Cricetulus griseus: one gene and its partners. The protein of the gene in region 2 interacts with the protein of the main gene of each other region in a biochemical or structural test. Links are inferred from orthologs where the notes say so. Each region holds a gene or a part of one and is shown on either strand. Other genes may lie near its edges.

Region 1 (5,799 bases), on a different chromosome or scaffold from region 2:
AGGAGGCAAAGGCAAACAGATCTCTGTAAGTTCAAAGCCAGCCTGGTCTACAAAGCAAGTTCCACAACAGCCACAACCGTTACACAGAGAAACCACGACTCAAAAAAGACCAAAAGAAAAAAGGTTTTTAACAAAAAAATTAATTTCAGCAGCAAGAGTACCTAAATTCTGAAACTGTATGTTTAAGACCTGGTTTTAGACAGAGTTTCAAGCACAACAAAGGCTCAAAACATGATCAAATTAAAGACAAATAAATGGTTACACAATGGAGTACTACTCAGCTGGGGGGAGGGGGGGACAATGTAATCTTGAAATTCCCAGGCAAATGGGTGTAACTACAAGAAACCATCCTGAGTTAGGTAATGCAGTCGCAAAAAGACAAAAATGGTATGTACTCACTCGTATATGGATTTTAGATCTAGAGCAAAGAAGTAGCAGCCTACAATCCACATCACCAGAGAAGCTAGGAAACAAGGAGGACCCTAAGAAAAATATACATGGTCCCCCAGGGAAGGGGAAAGGGATAAGATTTCCTAAGCTAATGGGGAGCATGGGGGAGGGGAGAGGGAGTTAGAAGAAAGAGAAGGAGAAGAAGAGGGGAGAGGAGGACATGAGGGAGCAGGAAGATTGAGTCGGGGGAAGAATAAAGGAGAGCAAGAAAAGAGATACCATCATAAAGGGAGCCATTATAGATTTAAAGAGAAATCTGGCACTAGGGAAATGTCCAGAGATCTACAGGGTGACCCCCAACTAACAACCTAAGCAATAGTCGAGAGGCTACCTTAAATGCCCTTCTCCAACAATGAGATTGATGACTACCTTATATGTCACCCTAGTGCCTTCATCCAGTAGCTGATGGAAGCAGACGCAGACACCCACAGCTAAAACTGAGCTGAACTCTGGAATACAGTTGCAAAGAGGGAGGAGTGATGAGCAAAGGGGGTCAAGACCAGGCTGGAGAAACCCACAGAAACAGCTGACCTGAGCAAGTCACGGACCCCAGACTGATAGCTGGGAAACCAGCATAGGACTGTTCCAGACCCCCTGAAGGAGGAAGTCAGTTTGGAGGTCTGGACAATCTATGGGGCCACTGGTAGTGGATCAGTATTTACCCCTACTATACTAATGAACTTTGGGAGCCCTCTCCACATAGAGGGATACTCTCTCAGCCTAGACACAGTAGGGAGGGTCTAGGCCCTGCTCCAAATGATGCAACAGACTTCGTAGATCCCCCAAGGAAGGCTTCAACCTCCCTGGGGAGCAGAAAGGGGTTGGGATAGAGGGGTCAGTACCGGACAGGAGAAGAGGGGAGGGAGAGGGAACTGAGATTGACAGGTAAAAGAAGCTTGTTTCTAAATTAAATTAAAAAAAAAAAAAAAGACAAATGGTATTAGAAACAATTTTTGCTTGCTCCTTTAAAAAATTCAATTTTCAAAATTAGGAGTAACTATTTGAAGTAGTCAGTTCCAGTCAGTATACTTACTAAAGTGTATCTGGAGGACCAATAATAAGGACTTCCCATCGATAGAGATCATTGTCGTCTATTAAACCTGCTGAAAAGCCTTCCACTGGATTTTTGTTGAGTTCTGCAGAAAAAGAAAATTTCAATTAAAACTTTAAAATGTTTTTTCCCCCAATAGGTAAATTACAGAACTTGAGCATACATAAGCCATCAACTATAAAAACTATAAAAATGCTGCCTCATGACCACAACATTTCCATACTACAAGCCACAGGTACAGCAAACTATCCAGATGGAATTGTACTGTCTTCCAACCAAGGTCTTAGCAGTCTAGGTAGGTTTCCACAGAGCCTGTGAAGATGGAAATAAATAAAGCCAATTCTCCATTGAAATTTCAGTTCAAAGAAAACCAAAAATCAAATCAAATCAAGTATATCAAGTTTTTGCCGGGCGTTGGTGGCACGCACTCGGATCTCTTGTGAGTTTAAGGCCAGCCTAGTCTCCAGAGCAAGTGCCAGGACAGGCTCTCCAAAGCTACACAGAGAAACCCTGTCTCAAAAAATCAAAAAAGAAGTTGGGAAACAAATGAAGGATCATCAAAGAGCAGATAAGGAAGAGTAAAAAAAAAGCCTTAAGAGTTCAGATAGACAGAGCTTACTAAAATAATGATTTATTGGTAATAGGCATATCACGTGAGTTTTTAAGATAGTTTTAAGAAAGTATAACTGGCAGCTGGAAAGATGGCTCAGCAGTTAAAGTGCACACTGCACGCTCTTCCAGAGGTCCTGAGTTCAATTTCCAGCAACCACATGGCGGCTCACAACCATCAGTAATGAGATCTGGTGCCCTCTTCTGGCCTGCAGGCAGACATGCAGACAGAATACAGTATACATAATAAACAAAATCTTAAAAAAATAAAATAAAATAAAAAGAAAGTAAAACTGACCAGGTCGTAGTGGTGAATGCCTAAATCCCAGCATTCAGAAGGCAAAGGCAGGTGATCTTTGTGAGTTCAAGCCTGGTCTACAGACCAAGTTCAAGGACAGCCAAAGCTACACAGAGAAACCATCTCTCACCCGCCCCCAAAAGAGCTTAACTGACATAAGATAAACTGTATCTATGTAAACTATATAATTTGATGAAGTTTAATATACTATACCTGTAAAGCCACCATCACAATCATGACTGTATATACAAAACCAGAAAAACTATCAATTATTTTATCTGTCAAGAGAGCCAAGGGCTGAGTGGTTCAAATTAGGCAATGAGGACAAAACATGTGAAAGAGCAGTTCAGAAAGCACTTGCCAGAAATCTGAGCAGGTAAGTACATGATTCTCATACAGCACATGCTATCTAATAATGGAAGTAGAATACATCACTACTATAAAATGCTAAACAAAGTATGCTAGTAACCGAGGAAGCATTAACTTTTTAAACAGTCAAAAGTGGTGGTGTTAGTTCAACGACTATAGCTTCATACATTGATATCAGGTCCATCTTCACTTGTCAACCTCTACTTCAACTTGGAATCACTTAGGAGACACACCTCTGGTACATGTCTGAGTGTAGTATGTGTCTTTTATTCAATGTTGTTATTGCTGGTTGTAGGTTTTAATTTGTGTATGTTTACCTTTTCTTTTCCTGGAATATACTTGACATTGTATACAGTTTTTGCATCAGGCTTAAAACCTTCTTTACACTAAAAGGGGGAATTACAGCAGCATCTTCCTCGCCAGTGTATTTGTATTAGTGGTGACACCCCTATGGGCATGGCTTCAAGTGTGGACAGAACCAGAAAGAGGGAAGCTCTCTCTCTCTCTCTCTCTCTCTCTCTCTCTCTCTCTCTCTCTCTCTCTCTCTCTCTCTCTCTCTCCCTCTCTCTCTCTCTCTCATGCACAGGCACAGGCACAGGCACAGGCAAACCTCCAACAGGGTTTCACTGTGTAACAATCCCTGGCTGTCCTAGAACTCACTCTGTAGACCAGGTTGGCCTTGAGCTCTCAGAGATCTGCCTGCCTCTGGCTGCAGCAGTTATTGTTCTGTGTAAGTTGTTCCCCAATAAAATACCCATTTATCAGTTATCTTGGGTCTAGTGAACTAACTCATTCACTCACGCCTTCATCTGAGGGTGTTTCCAAAACAGTTTAACATAGAATGTGGTTGAGATCATTCTATCAGTTAGTGTTCCACGGCTGCATAAAAAATGAAAAAAGGAGACAGCAAGCACAGTACTAGAATTCATACTCCCTCCCATCACCGTACCACTGACCCACTCCAGTTATTACACTTTCCCAGGCATGATGAACTACACAATGAACACCCTTGAACCATAAACTGAAATATTTAAGTTTTTTTTATCAATTATTTTGTCACAGCAACAAGAAAATAATTAATGTACACTCCAACATGTCAACAAAAAAACAGTTGAATTTCCACTTCAGTAATTATTTCTGCTGCTGCAGTTTTGGTTTCTGGCTCTACAGCAAGTACAGTATTTTCAATATTGTTATGTTGTAACGTAACTTCAGTGTCTGGAGAAGATGGCTATATGTCTAGACACATGGTTGACGGTCCTGTGTCTCTGACACTGCTGTCCAGTGTCCCGATCAACCCATTCTACACATCCCCTGAAAATGACTGCCATGACACCGACTCAACGATTGGCTTGGTGGCTTCCCTCATATGGGAAAATAACCTCCTGTTACTCCTTTTTGCTTCCTTCTACCCATTCCTACTACTTCCCCCCATAGTTAACCACCTTCCTCCCTTCCCTCCTTGGACCCCTGATAGGGCTCCTCTAGCTAATCTCCTTTGGCCCTTGAGCCTTTAATCGACTTGTGGCCTTTGTCAAGCAACAAATGGACTCTGCCACTAAGCCTGTCCTGGTCCAATACTAACCACTTCCCCACGGCCAGCTTCAGAGGTGCAGACCTGGATGGTACTGCAAGGAGACCTCGTCTTCTGAGGAATATGCAATGGGGTCAATGTCCTAACGCTTTCCCACCCCCACAAAAGGCATCCAGACAGTCCTGCCTTTCAGATGGCTCCGAGAAGTCATCCCCTTCTTATAAATGAGAAAATTGTCATTTATAAAATCTACATAGATTCTCCAATTGGGGGCCAGGCCTCTATCCCCCCACTGCTGAAAAATTTGGCTGCTTCTTTTTATACATGGAAGGGGGAATATGTTGGGAGCCAAATCTCAGGGCTGGGCATGAGATCCTAGGCCATTCTTGGCCGGCCACATAGTTGTATATTAACCTTTACATAGGAGCTCCTTAGAACCTCAGCTCAAGAAAAAGACCCAGTCCTCCACCCACAGGCTCAGTCACATAGGCAACCCTTCCTGGACCTCTTACTCACTAACTCTTTACCCTGCCAAACATCCTCTTTGTGGCTTCCTAATATCCTGCCTACACTAACACCTGGCTCACAAACAACCCATTCTACCCCTCCCCATATCCTACTCTGCCGACTATATAAGCTAGCCTGAGAAAAAAAAATAGTTTGCCACTTGATCAGAATCCTGTCTTGTGGTCGTTCTTTCTGCATCTCTTGCCCCATTCCCTATCCCTGACTCTCTTGCCCCAAGTTGATGTCCTGGAGGTGGGGACACTTTATAATCTCAAGAACAAGCCTATAGCTCCCCACCTCTATGAGAAAAATACTAACCAGCTCCAAACATCAACCAAACTATTTCTTTTTTTTTAATTCATTTTTTTTAAAAAAATAAAAAGCATACATGGGTGTTTTGCCTGTGTGAGGGTGTTGGATCCACTGGAACTGGAGTTACAGACAATTGTGAGCCATCATGTGGGTGCTGGGAACTGAACCCAGGTCATCTGGAAGAGAAGCCAACTCTTAAAATGCTGAGCCATCTCTCCAGCCCCAAAACTATTGTTTCTCATGAGAATTTCTACAAGCCTCCTCCTCCCCCCACTCCCTGAGTCACAGCCCATGAGGGAAATGTTCCATTAAAGCCTAGTTGCCAAAAATCACAGCTGGAAGCTCTAGGGTAAAGTTCACATAAGAAAGTGAAGCCCCTGCCAGGCAATAGTTATCCAGTATCTTCTAGATAATAGTTACAGAGGAGATGAAATGAAACACAAGTTGCAAAGCAAACACTGAATTTTTTAATGTTTAAAAACGGCACCTAGAAGCTAAGAGGATGATTCAGCCAATAAAGTACTTGACTTATATGTACCAGAACCTGAGTTTGATCCCCAGAACCCACATAAAATTGCTAGGGTTACAAACTTATAGTCCCAGCTTGAAGAAGCCAAAACCAGAGGATCCCTGTGGCTCACTGATCACCTATTCTCAAAGGAAATAGTG
Region 2 (5,498 bases):
TCCCATCTCCTAACAGCACCCCACATGGACATTCTCAGCTCAGGAAGGCCTCTCCCTGACACACAGCACATGCCGTTGGTTGTTTGGATCCAGCATGGTGTGTGTGTGAAGGGGGGCACGACACTGTTTCAGACCAAGGCTAACAGTCCTGTCACCTGCCATTATGCTGAATACCTAGTAAATGCAGGCACCCTCTGAAACCTCTTCTGCCAAACCACACCTCTTTTCCAGTGCTTTCCCTACCAATTGTCTTCACCCCAGGTTGCTGTCTACAGAGGGACCCAAACAACCTACACCCAATCTACACCTTAACTGTTATATCAGAGGACAAACCAAGATTCCGATGGAAGCTTAAAGAAAAATACACCTGTTCCTGACAGGTCTCAATTTCTCTCCAAATGTGTTTCATTCCACCAAGTTCTCTCCCAACCTGTGAATGGATTTTGCAGATTTAAAAAAACAAAAACACACAAACTCCATTGTACAGCCAGGGCCAGAATCACTTCAAACCCAATGGAAAGCAGAGGTGGGAGACTGACCTTCAGGTTGGACAGGGAGCCTTCCAGGGCAGAGACACAGCTCCTTAACGAGCCTCCCATTTGTGTGTGCCCAGCTCCCAAAGAGCTCACAGATCAGTTTCCTAAAATCTCAACACAGGATCGAGCCTGCTGACTGCAAACTGAAGAGCACTCTCTACACTGCTCTAGGGAAGGTCAGGTTCAGGTTACCTGAGCACTCAAGAGTCACCAGTACAACAAATTTGCACAATCATTCTCTCTGCTACATAAAAGCCTCAAATTTTTAAAGGAAAAAAATTAAGGACCCAAGAAGATAAAAATCAAATATGACCAATGAGGAAAACAGAGAATTACAGAATAGTTCCAAAATTTCCCAGTTCCTTGGAGGTTTGCTGAAAACCAGAAATTTTCTATTAACACACAGAATCCTTGACTATCCAGATAATTCTCTACCAACTTCACTTTGATCCAAGCTATCTCCAGGGGGGTGGGGGTGGGGGATGACAAATCAAGCATGTACTTGGGACTTCTCTCCCTGGAACATCTTAAGGTATGTGAAAGCACTTCTGCTTACATCACTACTGTTCTACGATATTCAAGACCCTCTGAAACTGACTGCAAGCAGTTTCCACCTTCACATGTCTGAAATGTAATATGTGGGATCTGCTTCACCTTTATTTTCATGTGCAGCATGGAAAGATAGCATGAAAGCAGACAGAGAAACTCAAGTGTTGCCTTCTCCAAATAAAACACTAGGAGAAACAGCACCCTCCCACACACACAAGTTCAAAAAGGATTGTAACACCCAAACCCAAAGAGCAGACACAAAAGCAGAATGGGATTCGAGTGGCCCCTTGGAAGAGTGCTACCTCAGCTTCCAACCATATACAACACACTACAAGAGGTTGCTTTTTATTATTGTTGCTTTACAATAAAAACAAATCACTATGCTCTCAGCAAAACAGATTAAAAAAAAAAAAACTCACAGGAATTGAACTAACAGCAGTTCAAGGTAAGGCTTTTGGAAGATTTATTGAAATAAATTACTCTGCCTATTCATCTATTGCCCTTTCTTCAATTACTTGTCAACATTCTAAAAACTTCCAGGTATGTAAAATACATTTAACTTTGCCAATAATTTTAGATAATACTGGATTCTTCCCAAAAGGACTACCATAAAACTATGTTTTCAAACATTTAAAAAAATCCAATGGGACATAAAACTATGTAACCTATGATTGCGTTGTTTCAAATCCTTAAATACGTGGAGAATTTGAGAAAATCCAGGACCAAGTCTGCTTGAGGCATGTGGATTATTCAACATCTTCCCTTTCTGTTTAATGAGACCCACAGGAACAAAAGCAGGGAAATGAAGGGCTCTGGGGGAGAAAGATACATAAGGTATTACACTTCAGCAATGTCCCCTAAAACATCCCTGCCTTGCAGGCCCATACCTATCCAAGGATCAAACCCATATATGTTTAGCATAGCCTAACAGGGTTGACCAAGGAATCAAAACCATAACCAAAGCTTGCTGCTCACCCCTTCCCATGCCTAGAGTAAGCAGGGAGTAGGAAGAAAAAGGAGGGGCAAGCTTATGTGATGCAGGAGCACCAGAGTGAACGGAAGTAAAGCCAGCTGTGGATCGGGGCTCAGGTCGGTCCTGAATATTAAGGGCAGAAAAGGGTCTCCTCCTTCTGCAGCCCTGAGCTTTCCCTTTCTGCTCCAGGTACCAAATTAGTTCTTTATACATGATGCCCTGCTGGTCTAGAAGTCCAGGAGCCTGTGGTACTGACCTCTGGAACACTGTGGATGCTTCTTCCCTTAGCACAGCATTTGACAACAGGATAGCTTGTCAAGATGTAGAGTCAGACTCCTGCTGTGCACCTCCTGGCTGCTGTGATGCACCCTCCCCAGGACCCACGCTTCCTTTAGACACTTAACATCTGCCATGGCTTATACCAAAGCAGAAATTGAAACTACCTGCTGCAGGCAGGTGAGTGCCCAAGTGCCTACTTCCTTTTGCTTGTCCCCACTCCCAAGAAGTCCAGTCAACACCAGAAGAGGTCATGCCTAGAGTTCAAATGTGCAGTATTTCTAAGGGGAAGAGAAATGCCACATAGAAAGTATTACAAGGATTAAAGTTGTCGGCTGTCCACACACTATTAAGACCACATGCTTTATGCAGCAGCAATGCAGTCGCGGGTCTCCACACAGCAGGCAAAACCGGGACAGGCCTCTTCCGGTAGGTAGGGCTGGACAGGAGGCTGAGGATGAGGAAGCACTAGGTCGTCTGCTGCCTCTGAAGTCTCCGCTCAGCAGCAGCTGCCAGCATCCTCCGGCGCAGGGTAACAGGGTCAGAGGACGTGCCTTCAGAGGGGAGGAGTCTCTCTGAGGCCATGTCATCTTCAGAACTTTTGTTCAAGAACCGCCTATAAGAAATGAAAAAGCCACAAGAGAAAGATAACAAATGGGAAGATCTGCAGAACACTTGTTTTCAGTTTCCCATCTCCACAGGCACCTTCACAAAGTTGTCACTCAAGATGAAAACACCCTTGCCTATGGGCTGAGGGCAGGGCATCTCAGTAGGAGGCATTTGCTCAGTATGTGTGAGGCCTTGGGCTCAACCCAAAGGTGTAAAAGGAGAGGAATAAAGAGAAAGAAGGGTCAAGATGGATGAACAGGGTAGAGGCAGGGAAGGGAGAAAACAGCAGACTCTTCAATGGATGAGGCTAATTCCCAGGGAAAGGACTATCAAATAACAGTTCATCTCTCTCTCCTCTGCCTAGTCCCTTCCCACAAAGCATGGAGTTTTAGAGCGACAGATTTGTGCAAGGCATAAAACTCACTTGAATGAATAATGCTGGCCCTGTCCACAAGAACTGAACTAAGATTCTACTGACCCAAAGGAACACTGTGCCCCAGCTGCCACCAACTGTGGGGGAACTCAAGGAACAACACAGGTGCTTTGTTCTCAATGCAGGCCCAAGGCAGGGCAGTCAAGGTCCTACAGGCAGACTCCAGGTGCTGGCAGGATTACCACCCTGGGTATCTGTTTCTTATCTGTATGTCTGTCACATGGATTAACAGTGCCCCTTCTCGGAACCAGAGAGAAGGTAATTCATGTACAGGACTGAGAAAATTGGCACCAAGCTGCCATCTTCCCCATAATTTATGTATGCTGACTAGGACTGGAGAATCAACTCACTTCCGAGCTTGCTGCAGGAGGTCATCCTTGCGCTGGACTAACATGCGCTGTCTCTCATCAGCAGACTTGGAGAAGCGGCTCCCCCGGGCCTCAAAGTCTTCCACCTCACTGGGCTCCACTTCTACCTCACTGAAGTCCAAGGTCTCTTCTAGGCGAGGACTGAGGTCCAGTGGTACACGCTCCGTCTGGACAGAGAGGGAGCTGTTAGCACAGACCTTTCCTTCCCAGGCAGCTTTCCTCCTTGCCAGGGCATTTTTGACAGGCCTCTGCTGGATCACTGGGGCCTTCTGCTAGACAGGAATCCAAAGCAAGAAACTTGGGCTCTGGGGAGGGATGCCAGCTGTCATGGCTCACATGAGGACTCATAGTAGTGGAGTAAGCAAATAGCTGCCTTTATGAGAAACACAATCCGCACTTTCAACCTGCACTCTTGGAACAGACCACGATAAACCACTAGTCAGTACTCCAAAAATTTCCTTTTCAATTCTGCCAACTGCTTAAGAATTTTAAAAAGTCTTTTTTGTTGTTGTTTTTGTTTTGTTTTGCTTTTTCACAACAGAGTTTTTGTGTGTCGTTCTGTTTGTCCTGGAACTCCCTTTGTACACCAGGCTGGCCTTGAAAGCACTGAGATCTGCCTGCCTCTGCCTCCTGAGTGCTGGATGAAAGGCATGCGCCACCACCGCCCAAATAATTTAAACAAGTCTTATCTGTTGTATGAAATTTGTGTCCTCAACTTGAAAATAGTCATATGAGATCTTTTGTGGAAACAGATATAGCAGATTGTGGGTTTAAAGGGTAACAAAGGACTTTCCTGGTTTGGGCTGAAGCTCCAAAAGCCAAGACACTGCCCAGATATCCAAACATCCTTAAGCAGGTACAATCCACCTACACTGCCCCTGCTCCCAGACTTAAAGACTTATATGGCCAGAGCCTGCCCACCTCCCACTTCTAGGCTGCAACAGAGCTGAAAGTGTTTCCACTGTGAGTACTTATTTGTCTCTGACCCTTATGCTTCTCTCTGCCTTCAGCCAAGAGTGGATCTGAAGACAGCCATATGGAACTTAAACCACATGGTAAGTCTGAGTCTCTGTCTCCATATAGGGAAAAAAACAGCTGGGTGCAGCTGGAAGTCAGAAGAGGGCTTAGGTAGCATGTGGGAGGCCTTGGGTTTCAAAACCAAGAAAAGAGGGGGGGAAGGGGGAAGGCAAGGGAGGGAGGGAAAAGAGAGAGAGCCTAGATACCCATTAGCAGATAAAGGAATAAACAAAGGGTATTACTCAACTGTAAGAAGAAATAAAAATTGAAAGATGAAAGTACTATGAGGACAGCCTCAACATACACACTGGAAGTTGAGCGCTACAAAGTCTAAAAGGTATTCGCTGGAGCAAACCAAAAAAACAGATGGGGCTTGTCATGGGAGCGAGTGTGATGCCTGATGACAGTAGGCAACACACATATCAGAGCTCAGGTGACAGCTCTCCAGAAGGGAACCAGCTGAACACAACAAACCTTGCCCAAAAGGATCTCTGGAGGTGTGAGCTGCTCACAGCAGAGGCAGAAGTGTTCATAATGGGCTAACACAAATGCAAACCAGGTATGTTTGAGGGTTCCCATATATCTAGGGCAGTAAGAATTAACATAAATACAGAGACAGTCATAAAGCCTCATTCTAACCCTTCGAGGGGGCTAAAGAGAGCAGCTCGTCAGTAGAGGTCAAGAGAAAAGAAAACAAGGTAAAGCCCACCTAGTTTGCAAACTTCAGCCCTGCCCTG
Region 3 (3,932 bases), about 460 kb from region 2:
GTAGGAAGATAATTGTTAAGATGAGGTCATTAGCACAATATGACCAATATCCTTATAAAAAGAGGGAAATTGGACAGAGATGTGCACGATGATACAGATACATTCACGCACGTGTATGTGCATGCATGCCATGTGAACAGAAAGGTCGAAACTGGAACAATACACCCGGAAGCTAAGAAGTGCCAAGGACAGCTGGCAATCCTGCAGAAGTTATGAGTGGCACAAACAGATTCTCTCCCCAAAGGAAGCAATACTACTCTACACCCTGGTCTCAGACTTCCAGCCTCTACAGCTGCGAAATAAATTCAGGTTGCTTCAGCTCCCAGGTTATGGCACTTCCTTCTGGTTGTGTGGCAAACTTACATCACCATCCCTAACAGGCCCCTCCTGTTACTCCTCTGATTTCCTGGCATGGCTGAAAACCCAGGTGTCCCAACAGGATTGGGATAAGGATGAGGTCAGGTGAATGCTAATTTTGTTTTTCAAGTTTAGAGGGAACAGTGGAGCGCTGACAACACTAGAGGCTTCTGGACAAGTTTCACGACTCCACTGATGTCCTTGTCTCAACCCCAATTTAAAAGCAGCAGATGTCTATGATACAAACATTAGGCAGAAGCCCCACACTTGGTGCCATTCATAGTAAGGGGCAAGTCCCACACCTGGTGCAGAGTTAAAGTCCGGGAGGAAAAGCATCCCTGGATGCCAGGCTGCAGAGCCCCCGGGGAAATGCAAGAGGACGTGTGCTCGGCGCCTGGGGTCAGAAAGGGAGGAGGGCCGCTTTGTGAGGGAACAATTTGCAGAGCCCGCTAAGGTGGGAGTCAGGCGGGCCGCCCGGGCTCAGGCACCGCACGCATCCCGCGCTAGGGCCCCAGAACAGGACCAGCGCCCGGGAGCGCTCCCCGACATGGCCGCCGAAGCCCGGCTCCGGCGCCGCAGCCGGGACTCAGGATGACGCAACCGCGGCGGGTTGCATCAGCCCGCACCCTCGCGCTCAGCCCGCCTCATCGCCGCCCTGCCCCGGGCGCTGATTGGGCCACGTTAGACACTGACCTCTGTCTCAGCCAATGGGTGGCAGCCACAGAGAGCGCCGACTGTGAAGCCCAGGCGCGGGGCGCCCATAAAAGGTACTCGAGACGGGGGCGCGCGTCCCAAAGACGCCAAGTGTCGTTGTGGAGTCTCCGACGACGGCTGCGTCGCCGCCAGCTCGGCATCCTTGAACGCTGCCGAGCCGCCGACGCCGCAGACATGGAGCCCGAGCCGCAGCCCGAGCAGGTCACGCTGCTGGTGAAGAGTCCCAACCAGCGTCACCGCGACTTGGAGCTAAGTGGCGACCGCAGTTGGAGTGTGAGCCGCCTTAAGGCCCACTTGAGCCGAGTCTACCCCGAGCGCCCGGTGAGTGGGGACCCCGGGGTGCCACGCCCGGCAGAACTGCCTGAACTCACCTGTCACGCATCGCAGGGCGCCGGTCCCCTTCCGGCCCGACCGTCCCCCGTGCCCCTCTGCTTGCCCCGGCGTTTGTCATCTCTTGTGGGCCTCCACCCCTCCGTGCCAGCGCCCTGCTAGCTCCTTGTCACTTCGCCTGCCTCCCTGTATCCCTTTACTTCCAAAGCTGTCACACGTCAGCCCCACGTCCCTATACCCCCTCTTTGTCCTCCCAGGTGGCATTACAGCCTTCGCCAAGCCAGGGAAACAGTAATTTGACCTTGGATGAGTCATTTCCCATCTAAGCCTTAGTGACCCCCCCCCAAAAAAAACAAAAACAAAACAAAAACAAAAAACAAAACAAAACTAGGTGACTAGGTGTTTCCAATTCGGCTTGCATCCAGTAGGTAGAAATAAGAAATGTGAATGTTGCCAAACGAGACTTCTGGGTGCAGCGGGGACAGAAGAGTGCATGTGCCAGCATGGGCCAGTGGCTGGAGGACGGGGAGGGGGGTGTTTCGTTCCCAGTCACCAACTTCTGAAGGTCCTACGCCCAGAAGCTAGACGTGGCTCTTTTCCTGCCACCTTCCGTTGGCTGCCCCTCCCTGTCGCTCAGCGCTCCAGAGGCATTGCTTAGTCCAGGGAGGAGCCCCCTTAACTTTCTAGCAAAGACTGAGAAAGGAAGCCACAGCTGGAGTCGCCCTAAGTCTGGTTTGACGATTTCCGTGGGTCAGTTAGGAGTGTTTTTTAGTTGACACATCTGTCAACAGCTCCCCTTAGCCCCGCCCACCCCTCCAGTCCCTGCCACGTGATGGAGGCTGTGCTGGACCTTCCTGTATTTACTTTGTACTCTGATGTTATGTAAGTGTCCACGAGTGCAGTTCTGGATCAAACAGGAGAGGGCAATCTGGTGGCTACAGATGGGGACTTCCGAGCAATTGCCTTCGAGCTCCAACCAGCAGTGGTGCCTGGGTTTCAGTTTGTTTTAGTTCCGCATTGTCGGTAATGTAGGCCAGACTTTTCCCTATGAGTTGTTAGGAACTTACTTACTTTGGGAGTAAGCTTCCAATCCAGTGCCAATGGAATTCATCTGGGCTGTCTGTAATATCTCCTTGGCCGTTTCCATGAAACCAGGTGTCCTTGTTGCGAGATGGCAGTTAGGCACACAAGTGATGCTCCTGTGATCTCTGGTTGCATCATTTGGAGAAGGCTATGTTTTGAGGCTTGTTTTCCTCAGGCAAGGAACATTGGGCCTCTTGGATTTGAAGACCTAAAATGGTAAATATAGGTCTCCTGGGTGTACACATCTGTGTCTTAAAAATCACGGGGAATGGGTGTAGTGGTGCACTTCTGTAATCCAGTACTGGAGAGGCCCACGCAGGAGGGTCATATCCTCCTGGGTTGTATGTAGTGAGAGCCTCTCTCAGAAATGAAGGCAGAAAACATCCTTATATTTTTCTGTAGTAGTACCCGCCATTGGTGAGAACCTGCTTTTATAATTCTCAAATTGGCCTTGAGGACAGAGAGGAAAACAGTTCAAATCCACAGGCAACTGTGCTTTTTTTCAGCATTTGCTGGTGGTTGGCTTCACATTTAGAACAGTAGTTTGCAAATTGATTTGTATAGCATTTACCAGCAAAGCCAGACAGAACAACAGCAAACACAGCATCAGTATACTTCTTTTCTTTAGGTATAGTGTCAAAAGCCCTTATGAATGTTGATAAGCAGATACAGGTTTTGTTGTCATTGTTTTGGTTTTGAGGCAAGGCTCAACACAGGCTAGTTTGAGCTTGTTATACATCTGAGGCTGGCCTTAATCTCGACCTTTCAGCCTCTACCTTCCAAGTACTGAGCTTATAGGCATGTGCCACCATGTGGGTGCAGTTTTCCTGGTCTTTTGGGTGGTAGTATTTTGAGATAGGATCTCTCTAGCAGAGGCTTGTCTACAGCTCATTCATATCCCAGTCTAGCCTGGAACTTCTGCCTGAGCTACCTTCATGCTAAGCCTCTAGATGTGAGCTAAGTTTGGTTTCTTCTAGGCTGGGTTGTTTGGGAGGAACAGCTTTGTGCCAAGTTTTGCTTATGGGTTATTTGGGTGCAGCAGGGTGGTACCCTGGAGTCCATTGCTTTTAAGTATATACTTTTAAGAGTATGGTCTTAAGAGAATTTTTAAAATAGATTTTAGAAGTGAGAATTATATAAAAGTGTGTGGACTCTTGGTGTCTTTAAAGCCACTGGTATGGAGGAGAACATGGGTTGGAATCTTGATTCTATCAGCAGGTGACCTCAGGTGCTATGGGGGGGGGAAGACTGACCAAAAAGTACACTGAGTGTTCTCTGGGCCCAAGTAGGTTTTAAAGTTCATTGCCCCTGAGGCCCTAAATACAATTGTTTTTTTTTAGTAGCAGGAAGCAGTTTCCCTCTGAGTAAGAAGTAAGGTTGTGCGGCCACTCTTAATGGAATAGGGGATCTTGGCCTCCCAAATTTATTTGCATATATATTTAAGGTTA
Region 4 (6,484 bases), on a different chromosome or scaffold from region 2:
TGCCGGACTTCAGGTGCTGATCAAGGCCAAAAATCAAAGTGAGTTAGTAAGCCAGCCAACAAAACAAAAACAAAAACAACTTCAAAACAAACAAAAACCCAAAACAGACAATAAACAAAGCTGGGTATGAGGGGTGAGAGGGACACCAACAATAAGAAACAAACAAAGGCAGGCTGGGGAAATGTCTCAGTGGTTAAAAGCTAACAGCGTTCATACCCTCAGTTCAATTTTCAGCACCAATACTGGGCAGCAGCTCACAGCTACTGGTAAATTCAATTCTAGGGGACCCAGTGTCTCTGGCTTCTATGAACACTGGTGCCCACAGGTACTCACAAACCCCTGCCTCCACACAAACCAATACAAAATTAAAAATAAAAATAATCAGCAATTGGGAGGAAGAGGCAGTGAATCTCTTGTGAGTTGGAGGTCAGCATGGTCTACAGAGTGAGTTCTAGGACAGCCAGAACTATGTAGAGACTGTCCCCAAAATAAATAAATAAATAATCCAAAGAATAACCACCACAACAACAACAATAAATAATAAATGTTACAAGAAAAAAGCCTAACAGCTCTCCCTTTCTCTTTCTTGGCTTAGTATCTACAGATTCTGGTGATCCTTTTCTAAATATAAAACCATGCCAGGAGCTCATGGCTGTAATCGCAAACCTATAAACAGGTGGACACTGGCACAACCCTTTACTCCCATTGAGACAGAGGCAGGTGGATCTCTGTGGCTACCAAGCCAGCAAGACTACAAAGAGAGACCCTGACTTAAAATACAAAACAAGGGTCTAGAGAGATGTCTCAGAGGTTAAGAACACTTGTTGCTCTTGCATAGGATCAGCGTTTAATTCCTAGCACATGGTGGTTTACAAGCATCCATACATAACAGAGTAGGTGTTACGATTTCCTGACTTCCACAGGTTATAGGACCTAATATCCTCTTCTGACCTTCTCGGGCACCAACTGCACATACAGCACACATATGAACCTACAGACAAGACACTCACATACAAAATAAAATAAAAGCCAGGCTTGGGGGCTGGAGAGATGGCTCAAAGGTTAAGAGCACCGACTGTTCTTCCAGATGTCCTGAGTTCAATTCCCAGCAACCACATGGTGGCTCACAACCATCTGTAATAAGATCTGGTGCCCTCTTCTGGTGTGCAGATATACACGGAAGCAGAATGTTGTATACATAATAAATAAAATCTTAAATTAAAAAAAAAAAAAAAAAAGCCAGTCTTGGGCCGGGCGGTGGTACACGCCTTTAATCCCAGCACTTGGGAGGCAGAGGCAGGCAAATGGAGACCAGCCTGGTCTATAAGTGCTAGTTGCAGGACAGTCTCCAAAGCCACACAGCTACCCTGTCTCGAAAAACAAAACAAAACAAAACAAAAACAAAAACAAAAATGAATAAAGTCTTAAAAACATTTTTTTTGAAGCCAGGTGGTGGTGAACATCTTTAATCTTAGCAGACTCTGTGAATTCTAGGCCAGACTGCTATACAGATTGAGTTCCAGGATAGCAAGAGGTACACAGAGAAACCTGGGGGGATGACACACCTGATACACCCTCAAACAACCATTTCCACCAATGGCAAGTAATACTGGGTTGGGATCCAGGGTCTGGGAAGATAACTAATGAAGAAGTAAGAAGGGAGCCCAGGAGGTTTCCTAGAGTTCAGGGGTAGGTACTTTGTGCTAGGTCCAGGGTTCAACACCAGTAGGAACATCCCCCCCCCAATAAGGGGAGGAGGGAAAATGAAGAACCCAAACAAACCAACGTGGTAGCACACACCTGAGACCCCCAAATTTGGGAAGCAGAGACAGGAGGATGACGAATCCAAAAGACAATCAGTTCTAAGACACTTAAAACCCTACCTCAGCCAGGCAATGGTGGAGCACGCCTTTAACCCCAGCACTCGGGAGGCAGAGGCAGGCGGATCTCTGAATTTGAAGTCAGCCTGGTCTACAGATAAAGCTCCAGGACAGAGAGGGCTACACAGAGAAACCCTATTGGGGAAAAACTAAACAAAACAACCTAAAACAAGTCAGGTATGCTACACCTAAAATCCTAGCACAGAGGATGGAAGTCAGAAGGTCAAAGCCAGCCTGAGCTCTATGAGGTATTGCTGTCCCTACCACCCCCAAAAAGAATCTTCCAAATTAGACAGTAACTCTTGGTAAGGGCCATCAGACACCTACTCACGAAAGTGTACCCGGTGTTCCCAATGTTTTATAAAACCACGAAAGTGACCCGTTCATGATTTGTTCCCGAAAAGATTTATGCAGTAAAGACAAAGATAACTGTGCCCACACTGCACCCTGTAAGCTCGGGAGGTTCAAACCACCCCTCAAGATATTGGCAATCCTCCTGAACAGAGCACAAAAGCAGGCTCCCGGGATCTATAAATACAGTGTTAAGGCCGAGAACAAGTTGTTCAAAGACAGAGCAAACACAGCACACTTGTCTGAGGCCCCGGTGCTGCTTCCGGTCCCCCAGGCCGGAATCATCCGTGTCCCTGTGGGCAGAGGTCCGCCCAGGCCAGGTACAGATTCCTCCGCGGCATTTCCCTCTCCACCGAGCTCCACCGAGGTGAAGGCGGGCGGAACAAAACCTGCCTCACTCAACGGTAACCACACCTCCTCACTCAACAGGAACATCAGAGGTTCTACCGAGGGAGGGACAAAGGAGTCGGTGACAAGACAAGCAGGCTCGCCCCTCGGAAGGCACACGAGCGAAGCGGGCACACACACCGCCGCCTCTCCCCCCGCCTCACCTGGGCCCCCACAATGAACGTCCGAGTCTGAGAGTCCAGGGTCTTCACCAGGACCTCCAGGCTGTCGGGCTCCTCCATAGCGGTCCTGGCACTATCGCTCGGCTCCATGGCCGACAGCTCTCTACGGAGAGACGAGGGAGGGAGGGGGTGGTTCGCCGCCGCCCGCTCGCTCGCCCGCTCGCCCGTCAGTCCGTCCGCCCGCCCGCCCCGCCTTCTACACACCCGGAAGAGCGTCCGGGCCCGGCCTCCGCCCCGATCCCTCTCAAAGTTTCTCATACACAAACACATCCACTCGTCCTCGCCCTCATCGCCCCCTCCTCGGCCCCGAGGCCCGGGAGGAGAAACACAAAGGGCAGGAGGGGGACGGCACCGGGAGGCGAAGGGCGAGCGGTGGGAGGGGCTCCACGGTGCCAATCACGGTCGGGAGAGCCAGTTGGGCTACGAGCCGGGCAAGCAAGCACGAGACCGACCGGACACCAGTTGTCATCACCGGTCGCGACCCAGCAAGCGCCCGAGAGAGCGGGAGAGCCGAGGACAACGCGAGGGGGGGGCGGGGGGAGGGTCGGGTCGCGCCGCGCCGCGCCGCGCTCGGCGGACAAAGTGGCTCCGCGCACGCGCGCCACGGCGATCGAACCCGCCTCAAGCACCACAGGCGCCGGGGACGCGGACACTCACGGGAGCCCGACCGGCTCGCTGGCCGCCCGTCCTTCCGCCTCCGCCTCCGCCGGCGTTGCAGCAGCAGCGCGCGCGGCCCGACACGCGGCCCCTCACATACAGACACACGGACACACAGACACACGCACACACACGCACGCACGCACGCACGCACACACACACACGGCGAGGCGCGGCGCAGCGCCCCGCGGCTCCGCCCCCCCCGCCGGCTCCCCGCCGTACCGTCACTTCCGGCCTCCCCCAAGCGGGCACCACAGGCCACTTCCGTTTCCCCGATCGTATTTGGGGCTCTCGAGGCGGTACTTCCGGCTCCCCCAGGCTCCCCCCAATCTGCTTCTGCGGGGCACGACGAGGAAGTCCGCAGCCCCAGACAGTGAGTTCCCAGGGGCCGAGACGGGCCGGGGCCGGCCTAGATGGGAGGGAGCCGACCACCCCGAGGAGCCGCCGCCGCCGCCGCCGCCGTCGCCCGGGGGACCGCACTGCGCCTGCGTGAGCCGCGCGGCGCGTGCGCACACCGCAGCCCCGCCCCCCGCCCCGCCCCGCCCCGCCTCGCCTCGGGCTGCGTGCGTTTCTCCGCCGCCCCCCGCCCCCACCCCCACGGCGCGCGCCCCGCAAGCGCCGCACGGCCGAGGTGGCCGCCGTAACGCCTGAAGGAAACCCTCGCTGAGCGGGATGCCGCCCCTACCCGGAGAGACGCTGTGGACGCCCGTGGGGGACTCGTGGGGCTGTTGCACGCCGTGCGCCTGCGTCCGCGTTGGGCGGGCAGAGGAAACGCACGGGCACAGCCCTAGCCACCTAAGCCCCGGCAGGGCCTCTGGTCCTCCCGCACTGCCTGCGCTCCCGGAAGCCGCTCCCCCCCGCCCCCCGCCGCCCGACGGTTGGACGTTCCGTGGGCCGTGTGCGCTCGCACCCGAGCCGGACCGGGCGGCTGCGCGCCTCGCAGACTGTGGCGTGTGCTGAGGGTCGTTGGTTGGTCGAGGGCGCCCGAGGGAGCGCCATGGTTCAAGACCACCGAGCGTTTCGCCGCTGGTGGAAGCGGGGCCGGCGCGCGCCTGTGACCCCGGCCCCCGGAGGCCGGCCTGGGCTACGCCGGGAAGCGCTAGCGCTCTGGAAAAGACAAGACCAAGCAAACCCCCAGCGCGCGTGCCCGGGCCACAGGGTTAAAGGGCGAGAGAAGGGGTTGGGGGTTCCCCGCTCATCCCCGCCGGCAGTGAGCACTGTTTAGTGAGCAGTGGTTGCTTTGTCCCAGCCTGAATGCTGAGGCTTTCACCGTGTTCCCCTGAAGTGCCTGGAACTCCTCACGCCCCACAGCCCCACAGCTCCACGCCACTGCCCGGGGCTGGCATTAAAGTCGCCCTGTGGCACCCGGCCAGACGTCATTTATTTATTTTTCTGAAACGCGGTTCTCACTATGTAGATCTGGCTGTCCCGGAACTCAGGGATCCACCCACCTCTGTCCTAAAAACATTTTTTTGGAGGGGGAAGGGGGGGCGGCGGGCTATGTGCCTTGCATCTACCACAGCAGCCTAAGTGTGGAGAAACATACCGGAGTCCCCTTCCCACTGTGGGGACCTGGGGATCAAAGCCAGGTCCTCAGGCTTGGCTTGGTATCAAGCACCCTAAACCCACCTTTTAGTGTGTCCTCATAAAATTGGAAGGGCTGGAGTGGGAGGGCACTTGCCCGGCAAGCCCAAGGCCTTGGGTTTGATCCCTTGCTCCCACACACAAGCCTGAGCATCACTCCAATAGAACGGTCATGCCTATCACCGCCCACGTTTTTGTGATTGCTTTGTAGCAAGATAGTAAGTACCAAGGGTGGCCTGAATGGCAGTCGGACTCTGGCCAGCGTGAGTGTGTCCAGCATGGATCTGGCGATCCTTACCCTTCTCTTACTCCCTCTCCCCTGCTCAAAACTGTTAGGTTACATTCCTGAAGATAGTCACCATTGTAGGGATATATTTGTGACTTATTAAAGCTTGCCTGAGGATTCAGGAAGCAAACCCTTTTTGGCCACTACCTCTCCCTGAGGCTGACTACCAAGATCAGCTATCAAAGTATTGAAGTCCAGCAACCGAAAGCCCCCTTTGGCTCACCTAATTAACATGCCCAACTAAGATTAAACTCATGATCCTAACATCCCCTTTATATCTTTATAGACTGCCATTTTCCTATGTACCATGTCTGTCATCTCCCTTATAGCCAGGGGCAGTCCTTTGTCCCACACTGGGACAAATACCCTGCCCCTTCTCCCTCTTCCTCTGTCTCCTCTCTCTCTCTCTCTCTCTCTCTCTCTCTCTCTATATATATATATATATATATATATATAGCTTTCTGAATCCTCAGGCAAGCTTTAATAAGTCACATATATATAAAATATGAATGATCTGTGTCTCTCCATATATATGTGTGTGTGTTTGTGCTGTCCTGGCACTCATTCTGTAGGCCAAGCTGGCCTCGAACTCACAGAGCTCGGCCTGCCTCTGCCTCCAGAGCTCTGGGATTAAAGGCCAGAGCCTCCACCGCCAAGGCCTGCACCATTGTTCCTCTAAATAAATCACAACCTCCAGCAGGTCTCACTTCTCTGGAGACTTGTGTTTAAAAGAAAAGCTGGAGTCACTTCTGTGTCTATTTATCACGGGCCTTAAGGCAGAGAGACGGGCATTTAGGAAGAGGATGGTATTTATGTACCTAAGTCCCACCTCTCATTGCATTGACAGCTCCACACACTAAGACAATCCAGTGACTGTCTCTTGACATTGTGTTTAAATCTTGACAACATAGCAATCCATTTAAAAACTATCACCAGCAATTGTAGTGGGTACCTTGCAGTTACTAATGACAGTGGGTATTTACTTCTGACTTGGTGTGTACATGATCTCATTTAACTGTGAGACTAACAAATAAAAAGAGCAATCAAGAGTGACAGAGAGAGAAAGAGAGATTAAGACAATTGTCCCAGGAGATTGCCGGTGTGTGGATCATTGATATTACTGAGCATGCCTGGTATGCTTGAAGCTCTAGGTTTGA
Region 5 (5,799 bases), on a different chromosome or scaffold from region 2:
GGATCTGATGCTCTCTTCTGGCTTCCTTGGGCACTAGCATGCATATGTATATAGAAACACACACACACACACACACACACAAATAAACACACATTACACACTTTAAAAAATACTTTAAAAGAAACACAAGGACACTTCCAAAAATAAATGCCATACAAATGGAAAAAGAAATTTTATTTGTTTCTTTTTGAGATACGGTCTCTCACACTATAGCCCTGGTTGGCCTAGAATTTTCTAGGTAGACCAGTTGGCATCTCACTCACAGAGATCCTCCTGTCTCTGCCTCCTGAATGCTGAGATTAAAGGTATGTACCACCATAGTCAACACAAATGATTTTTTAAAGTGATACTTTAAGATAGTCATGAAACAAAATCTCTTACTTTCACAATACACTATATATTATCTAAATATGAGAGCACCCAACCTCAGGAGACATGTAGCTCACATAGAATGGATAGTAACATGGGTTTTGTTCATGAGATGGCTACTTCAAGACATTATTATCTCTATTTCTCAAAGCTGGTATTTTCTTATACATCCATTTCACAATTCACTTAATTATTTTACAATCATTCATAAATATATATTTCCTAAGAGGCTAGCCTGTGCTCCAGTAATAACAAATCATGATAAAATATAATCAATGGAGTTAAATCTTTTACTACCAAGTAGTCCCATCAGATCATTTACTACCACTGTTAACGATGACACTCTCAAGTGTGATGTGCCTATGAACCATCAATGAGATAGGTGTTCAAGCTCAAACATTAGAACTTTGTTTTCTTTAAAAATCTAGAAAGATAACTTGCTTACTTAAATTGATTTTTAGCTGACAATTTATAAAAACAGAAGTACCTTTTTTTTAAATTGCTGATAACATACAGTAAAGACAGATGCTTTTCAAATTGTGATGGCATTAAAATTCTATTTTAGAGATTCTAGACTTTTAAAACATTGAGTGATGTCATGGCAGTGATACCGAGAGTCATTCCCGAGAGTCAATTCCTCCTAGTTATCAAGATTATCCCCCTAGTTATCTTTAGGGCAGGGAATACAAACCCATACTCCTTTTTGGACTTGTATAAGTAATCCATCTTGGATGTGGATAAACCCCAACTTCTAAATTCTCAACTACAAAAAGGGACCACAGCATACTACCTCACAGGAGACAACCTGATAAAGAGGTACTAGCCTACTGCAATAATGTTTATATGCAATTAGTGGCTATTAGAAATGCCAAGATAGGAGGTGGCATGGGCAGGGGTTAAAGGTGCTTGCTACCGAGACCAAAGTGACCTGGAGTTGGATTTCAAGGAACCACATGATGAAGAGACTCCTACAAGTTGTCCTCTGATCTTCACATGCACCGAGGAACACACCCCCAAATTAAAAAAAAAAAAAGTGACAACAAATTTCTTTTAAATGCAAAAAAAAAAATTAGATCACATTTTCCACATTGGAAATAGTCATCATGCAAAATTATAGAGTTTTGATCAAGCAGTTTTGGGGTTTGCATTAAGTAATCAAGACAAATAGTAGAAAAAGCATTTTATTTATATGGAAAAAGCTACAGTCAGATCTGTAAAAGGTGTCAATATAATATTGCCTATACAGAAAAAAAAATTCAAATGTGAAGAGCAACAACAGAAAAAGTGACACACCTTCCTACTTAGCAGTGCAATTAATTCACATTGCAATAAAGTTAAGTCAAGTACAATAAAACCGAAACAAGTGTTTCTCCATTCTAGTCAATATACTGAGAAATACAGTGTGAAGATCAGTTCTGGTTTAAGAAATATGCATTCAACCCACAGAATATCCTAAGACAAGGGGACAGGGGGCACAGTTAATTCATCATCAGCTGTTGGGGTTTCAATACTGTTCACAGGAAAAAGAAGTCATGAGTTGACATAGAATATATTTAGTCTATACAGTAAAAAAATACAAATTATAAAGTGAGCTAACAAAGAATGAAATCTGAATTCAGATTTATAAAAGTGACGACATCTTGGACAACACGTACAGTGTTTCTCATGTAAAAACATCTCCTTTCAGCAAGCAAAAAAAAAAAAAAAATCATCTGGTTGCTTCTCAGTCATGTTGAAGATCTCGCTTTGAAGATGCAGGTGTCCAAGTGTCTCAAAAACCAAAATAAATGTCCTCCTCAAGGAGCATAGAATGCTAAATGCTCTCCGAATAGTTTCAAGGGTAGCTTTGGAGGTTTGTTCTGTCTTGCTTCAGAAACACATTTAAAATGAGTAAAAACCAAAGGGTTCGTGGAACAGAGGAGACAGCAAATGGCACTCAACTTACTGCTAATGTTGAAAAAGACAGGTTTTACAGTACTCTGGCAGAAGTGGAAGTGGTTTAAAACATTACATTGCATATTTCTGAGTCCATTCTCTTGCGTGCCTGTTGTATCTGTAGGCATATAAAAAGAGAGAGAGAGAGTAAAAGCACACACGTTTAGCCGGAGGAAGCCACACTCTGTTCAGAATTGGGTCTTCTACCTCCTCTCGCTGACCACCAGACCTTCCCCTGTCACTGGGCTGAGGTAACACAAAAGCATGCCAACATAAAAGCAAAAACAAACAACTTTTAAATTACTAGATTCCTCAAAAAACAAAACAAAACAACAACAACAAAAAAAACGAGACAAAAAACCAACTTCAAATAGAAATCTCTAGAAGTCAAGCCTGAGGTAGGCTTAGGCACCAGGAAGGTGAACTGGCTAGAGAAGTTCAGTGTGTGTGGGCAGAGAAATAACTTTTCTTTCTAGGAGACGATGGGGAAACAATGCCCAGTGCCGCCCAGTGATGAAAGCCTTCCATGATGAATTTACTAGCTAGAAACGATGAGGGCACAGCACAGACAGAGGACATGATCTACTAGACAGTGACCCAGAAAGAGGTTTCTTTTTTTTGTTTCTGAGACAGTTAAAAAACAAACAAAAAACCAAAAACCACAACTTACACAGAATTAATTGTACTTCACATATAGTACACAGGCAGCAAACCATATTGAAACGCACACAACAGGAAGTGTACAGCGGGACACACTTACTTTTCTTTGTCTGATTTATAGATCTGTGCAATATCTGGTACTAAAGGATCGTCTGGGTTAGGATCACAGAGCAGCGAGCATATGGACAACAACACTAGGTTGGAGGAAAAAACAACAACATTCCATTGAGTGATGCCATTGCTGCTTTATAAACTTACCCACCTGAAAACAACTGCCCTGAACACAAAGGAAATGAAAGAGGAGAGGAACACTCAGAGGTAAGAGCACAACTCAGTGGCAGGTGGCTTCCAAGCATACCTGGGACCCCAGCAAAACAAAAAACAAAACACCCAGCGCTGTAAAAATATAAAAGTCACGTTTTATATTAACTTCAGTTGGGGGGTAAATATGATTATTTCCTAAAGTAATGAAACTATTATGTTTGACATTTTTAATTCTAAGTAATCTACGTTTACTTAAAACAATGTGTGTCATCCAAAGTAGCTGCTGGCAATCTTTCAAATCAAGAACTCGTGTGTGTGTGTGTGTGTGTGTGTGTGTGTGTGTGTGTGTGTGTGTGTGTGTGTGTGTGTCCCCATCCATCCATGAAATATAAGATCTTTTTCCAACAAATCTTCCATTCCTTTCACCTCATATTTAATTATATTCACTTACAAACAACCTGAATACCCATCTCTGTTTAACTTGTGTATTTTAAAAGATACATAGAAACTGTAAGGTATCTGTTGCTACATCATGCCAAAACTACTAATGCAAATAGCTACACTTAAACTATGCCAGGAGGCCAGCCTGGTCTACAGATCGAGTTCCAGGACAGCTAGGGCTGTTAAACAGAGAAGAAACTCTGTCTTGGGGGGCGGGGCTGGGGGAGGGGCTACACAATAAAGAGAAGCACATCCTAGTAGGCCCAGCACTAGAGAGGCTAAGCAGGACAAGCTGCTAACTGGACACTAGTCTGGACTACATAGTGAGACTTGTCCTAAAAACAAAACCAAACCCCACCTGCTTCACATGTGTGCGGTCCATCCAAGGAACCCCACAGAAGCATCTCCCAAGCCCCACCCACCCTCCTCTGCTATGATCTTTCTAGTCTACAGGTAAACTTAGAGCAAAGTAGACTTTCAAATGACAGGGAGACGGGGCAATGAGAATGAAGGGAAAACCATGTTTCTTTTCCTCATCCTACCCCATGAGACTCAGGCCTTCTATAGGAAATCAACAGGACAAGGTTATCTCTTCCTTTGTATATCCCCTTGTACATCCAGACTAAACTCACAGCAAAGGTCAATCGAGGCCTTTAAACACAGAAAAACGAAAAGTGTACCAATAGGTGTGTGAGGTCTGAGCTATCTCCTGACATGGACAAGAGTGAAGTTCCCCAACTATCTCCCCAGTCCGGCTGCCAGGAACCATCTGCCCCCATTTCACTATCACAAATGGCCCATGAAGAGGAGGAAGGGGATAGAGGTGTCCACCCCAGGGCTCGGTATGCACCAGGTGCCCAGCGGCCGAGTTTGGTAATTCTGTCACGATCCTGGAATGTGATGAGACCGGAGCAGTTTATGCTCCTAGGCTAGCAATACGAATTATTTTTTAGTCAAAAGCCACAGCACCACTGATAGTCATTGAGTACGTGGCAGCCAGCCATTTCTTTAAGTGAGAAGGACTTAGCAGCTTGTGGCAAATGAGAGCCATTTTGGGACACCATTCCAAGAAGAACTATAGTAATCTGAATAATTATAGACAGAATCTTTCCTTTATTCACTTTATGGTAAATTCACTGCTGAAAAAAAATTTTTTTTTTTTATTTCTGAGTCAGAGTTTCTCTGTGTAATAGTTCTGGATGTCCTTGAACTCCCTTTTTGTTTAGATTTGGCCATTCACTCATTTCTCCCAATCCCAGAGTTTACTAAAAGCCAGAATGACCGAAGAGTTACTAGAGAAAACAAAACAAAAATAGTAAGCACTGAGGGTTGAGGCATCTGTTTTGTTTGTCTGGACTTCGGTTTTTGTTTAAACTCTGGTCCCTAGACATTGTACAGTCCTCTCCATGCCTATTTTAAATCTGATAAATGAAATTACCTTTCGATACAGTCAAAGCTGGTGACCACTGGGACCGCAGGATGTCAAGACAAATACTTCCATTACTGTTTATATTTGGGTGGTAGATTTTTGTCGTGAAAGCAATCTACACATAAAACAGAACAACAACAACAAAAAGGTTGATCGTCACAAGCGATGAACAAGCAGAACCAATCCACTCAAGGGAGAAATGTGCTCAACTTTACACAGCTTTGGAACAGAAACATCTACATGCAGGTCCGCTATTGGGAATTTGAAGGAGACTCAGTTTAACCTCCTTTTCTCCTCCAGGTGCTGGGACGTATCTTGGGTGTAATGAGGATGTCTGCAATCACTGGGGTGACTGGCACTTGGACCAGCTGCTCTGGCTTTCATTACACCTCCAAATACTCTTCTTAACCAGCCTGTGAGTAACACCCAGCAGGCCACCTGGATCTATAAACAGGTCACCGAGTCCGTCAGAGCAGAAGTGAGATGATCACCCGTCCTGTAAAACCCACTGAGCATCTGAATTCCGACAAGAGTCACTGTTGTGTGATGTCATCCATAGGATTTTAAACTCAGTGTTTTAAAAATGCTACAATTATTTCCATAGCAGCAAATATATGTTTGTTTTCCCTCCTTCACACCCCCCCCCCATCACTTGTTTCTTCTTTGGCCTTTAAACCTTGGAGAATGTCTTTTCATTCCCT

The links.
Region 1: the proteins of Amfr (region 2) and Ube2g1 form a complex in vitro, tested with the Homo sapiens proteins (7 studies listed by BioGRID, with this or other methods). The link is inferred for Cricetulus griseus from reciprocal best matches to the Homo sapiens genes AMFR and UBE2G1.
Region 3: of the proteins of Amfr (region 2) and Herpud1, one has a biochemical effect on the other in vitro, tested with the Homo sapiens proteins (6 studies listed by BioGRID and IntAct, with this or other methods). The link is inferred for Cricetulus griseus from reciprocal best matches to the Homo sapiens genes AMFR and HERPUD1.
Region 4: the proteins of Amfr (region 2) and Bag6 form a complex in vitro, tested with the Homo sapiens proteins (2 studies listed by BioGRID, with this or other methods). The link is inferred for Cricetulus griseus from reciprocal best matches to the Homo sapiens genes AMFR and BAG6.
Region 5: the proteins of Amfr (region 2) and Ube2d1 form a complex in vitro, tested with the Homo sapiens proteins (2 studies listed by BioGRID). The link is inferred for Cricetulus griseus from reciprocal best matches to the Homo sapiens genes AMFR and UBE2D1.

What each region holds. Positions count from the first base shown.
Region 1 is NC_048600.1:86,469,084-86,474,882, reverse strand, and holds part of Ube2g1 (ubiquitin-conjugating enzyme E2 G1), read right to left. Parts: intron 1,587-5,799; coding exon 1,484-1,586; intron 1-1,483. UniProt on the Homo sapiens protein: Accepts ubiquitin from the E1 complex and catalyzes its covalent attachment to other proteins. In vitro catalyzes 'Lys-48'-, as well as 'Lys-63'-linked polyubiquitination. May be involved in degradation of muscle-specific proteins.
Region 2 is NC_048596.1:170,161,685-170,167,182, forward strand, and holds the end of Amfr (E3 ubiquitin-protein ligase AMFR), read right to left. Parts: intron 3,912-5,498; coding exon 3,727-3,911; intron 2,951-3,726; coding exon 2,803-2,950; 3' UTR 1,415-2,802; downstream 1-1,414. UniProt on the Homo sapiens protein: E3 ubiquitin-protein ligase that mediates the polyubiquitination of lysine and cysteine residues on target proteins, such as CD3D, CYP3A4, CFTR, INSIG1, SOAT2/ACAT2 and APOB for proteasomal degradation.
Region 3 is NC_048596.1:170,618,191-170,622,122, forward strand, and holds the start of Herpud1 (homocysteine-responsive endoplasmic reticulum-resident ubiquitin-like domain member 1 protein), read left to right. Parts: upstream 1-1,132; 5' UTR 1,133-1,245; coding exon 1,246-1,392; intron 1,393-3,932. UniProt on the Homo sapiens protein: Component of the endoplasmic reticulum quality control (ERQC) system also called ER-associated degradation (ERAD) involved in ubiquitin-dependent degradation of misfolded endoplasmic reticulum proteins.
Region 4 is NW_023276806.1:231,656,372-231,662,855, reverse strand, and holds the start of Bag6 (large proline-rich protein BAG6), read right to left. Parts: upstream 4,167-6,484; 5' UTR 4,143-4,166; intron 3,939-4,142; exon of another isoform or gene 3,680-3,938; intron 3,649-3,679; exon of another isoform or gene 3,458-3,648; intron 3,147-3,457; exon of another isoform or gene 3,005-3,146; intron 2,904-3,004; 5' UTR 2,891-2,903; coding exon 2,783-2,890; intron 1-2,782. UniProt on the Homo sapiens protein: ATP-independent molecular chaperone preventing the aggregation of misfolded and hydrophobic patches-containing proteins.
Region 5 is NW_023276806.1:266,584,205-266,590,003, reverse strand, and holds the end of Ube2d1 (ubiquitin-conjugating enzyme E2 D1), read right to left. Parts: intron 5,214-5,799; coding exon 5,108-5,213; intron 3,159-5,107; coding exon 3,065-3,158; intron 2,423-3,064; coding exon 2,377-2,422; 3' UTR 1,533-2,376; downstream 1-1,532.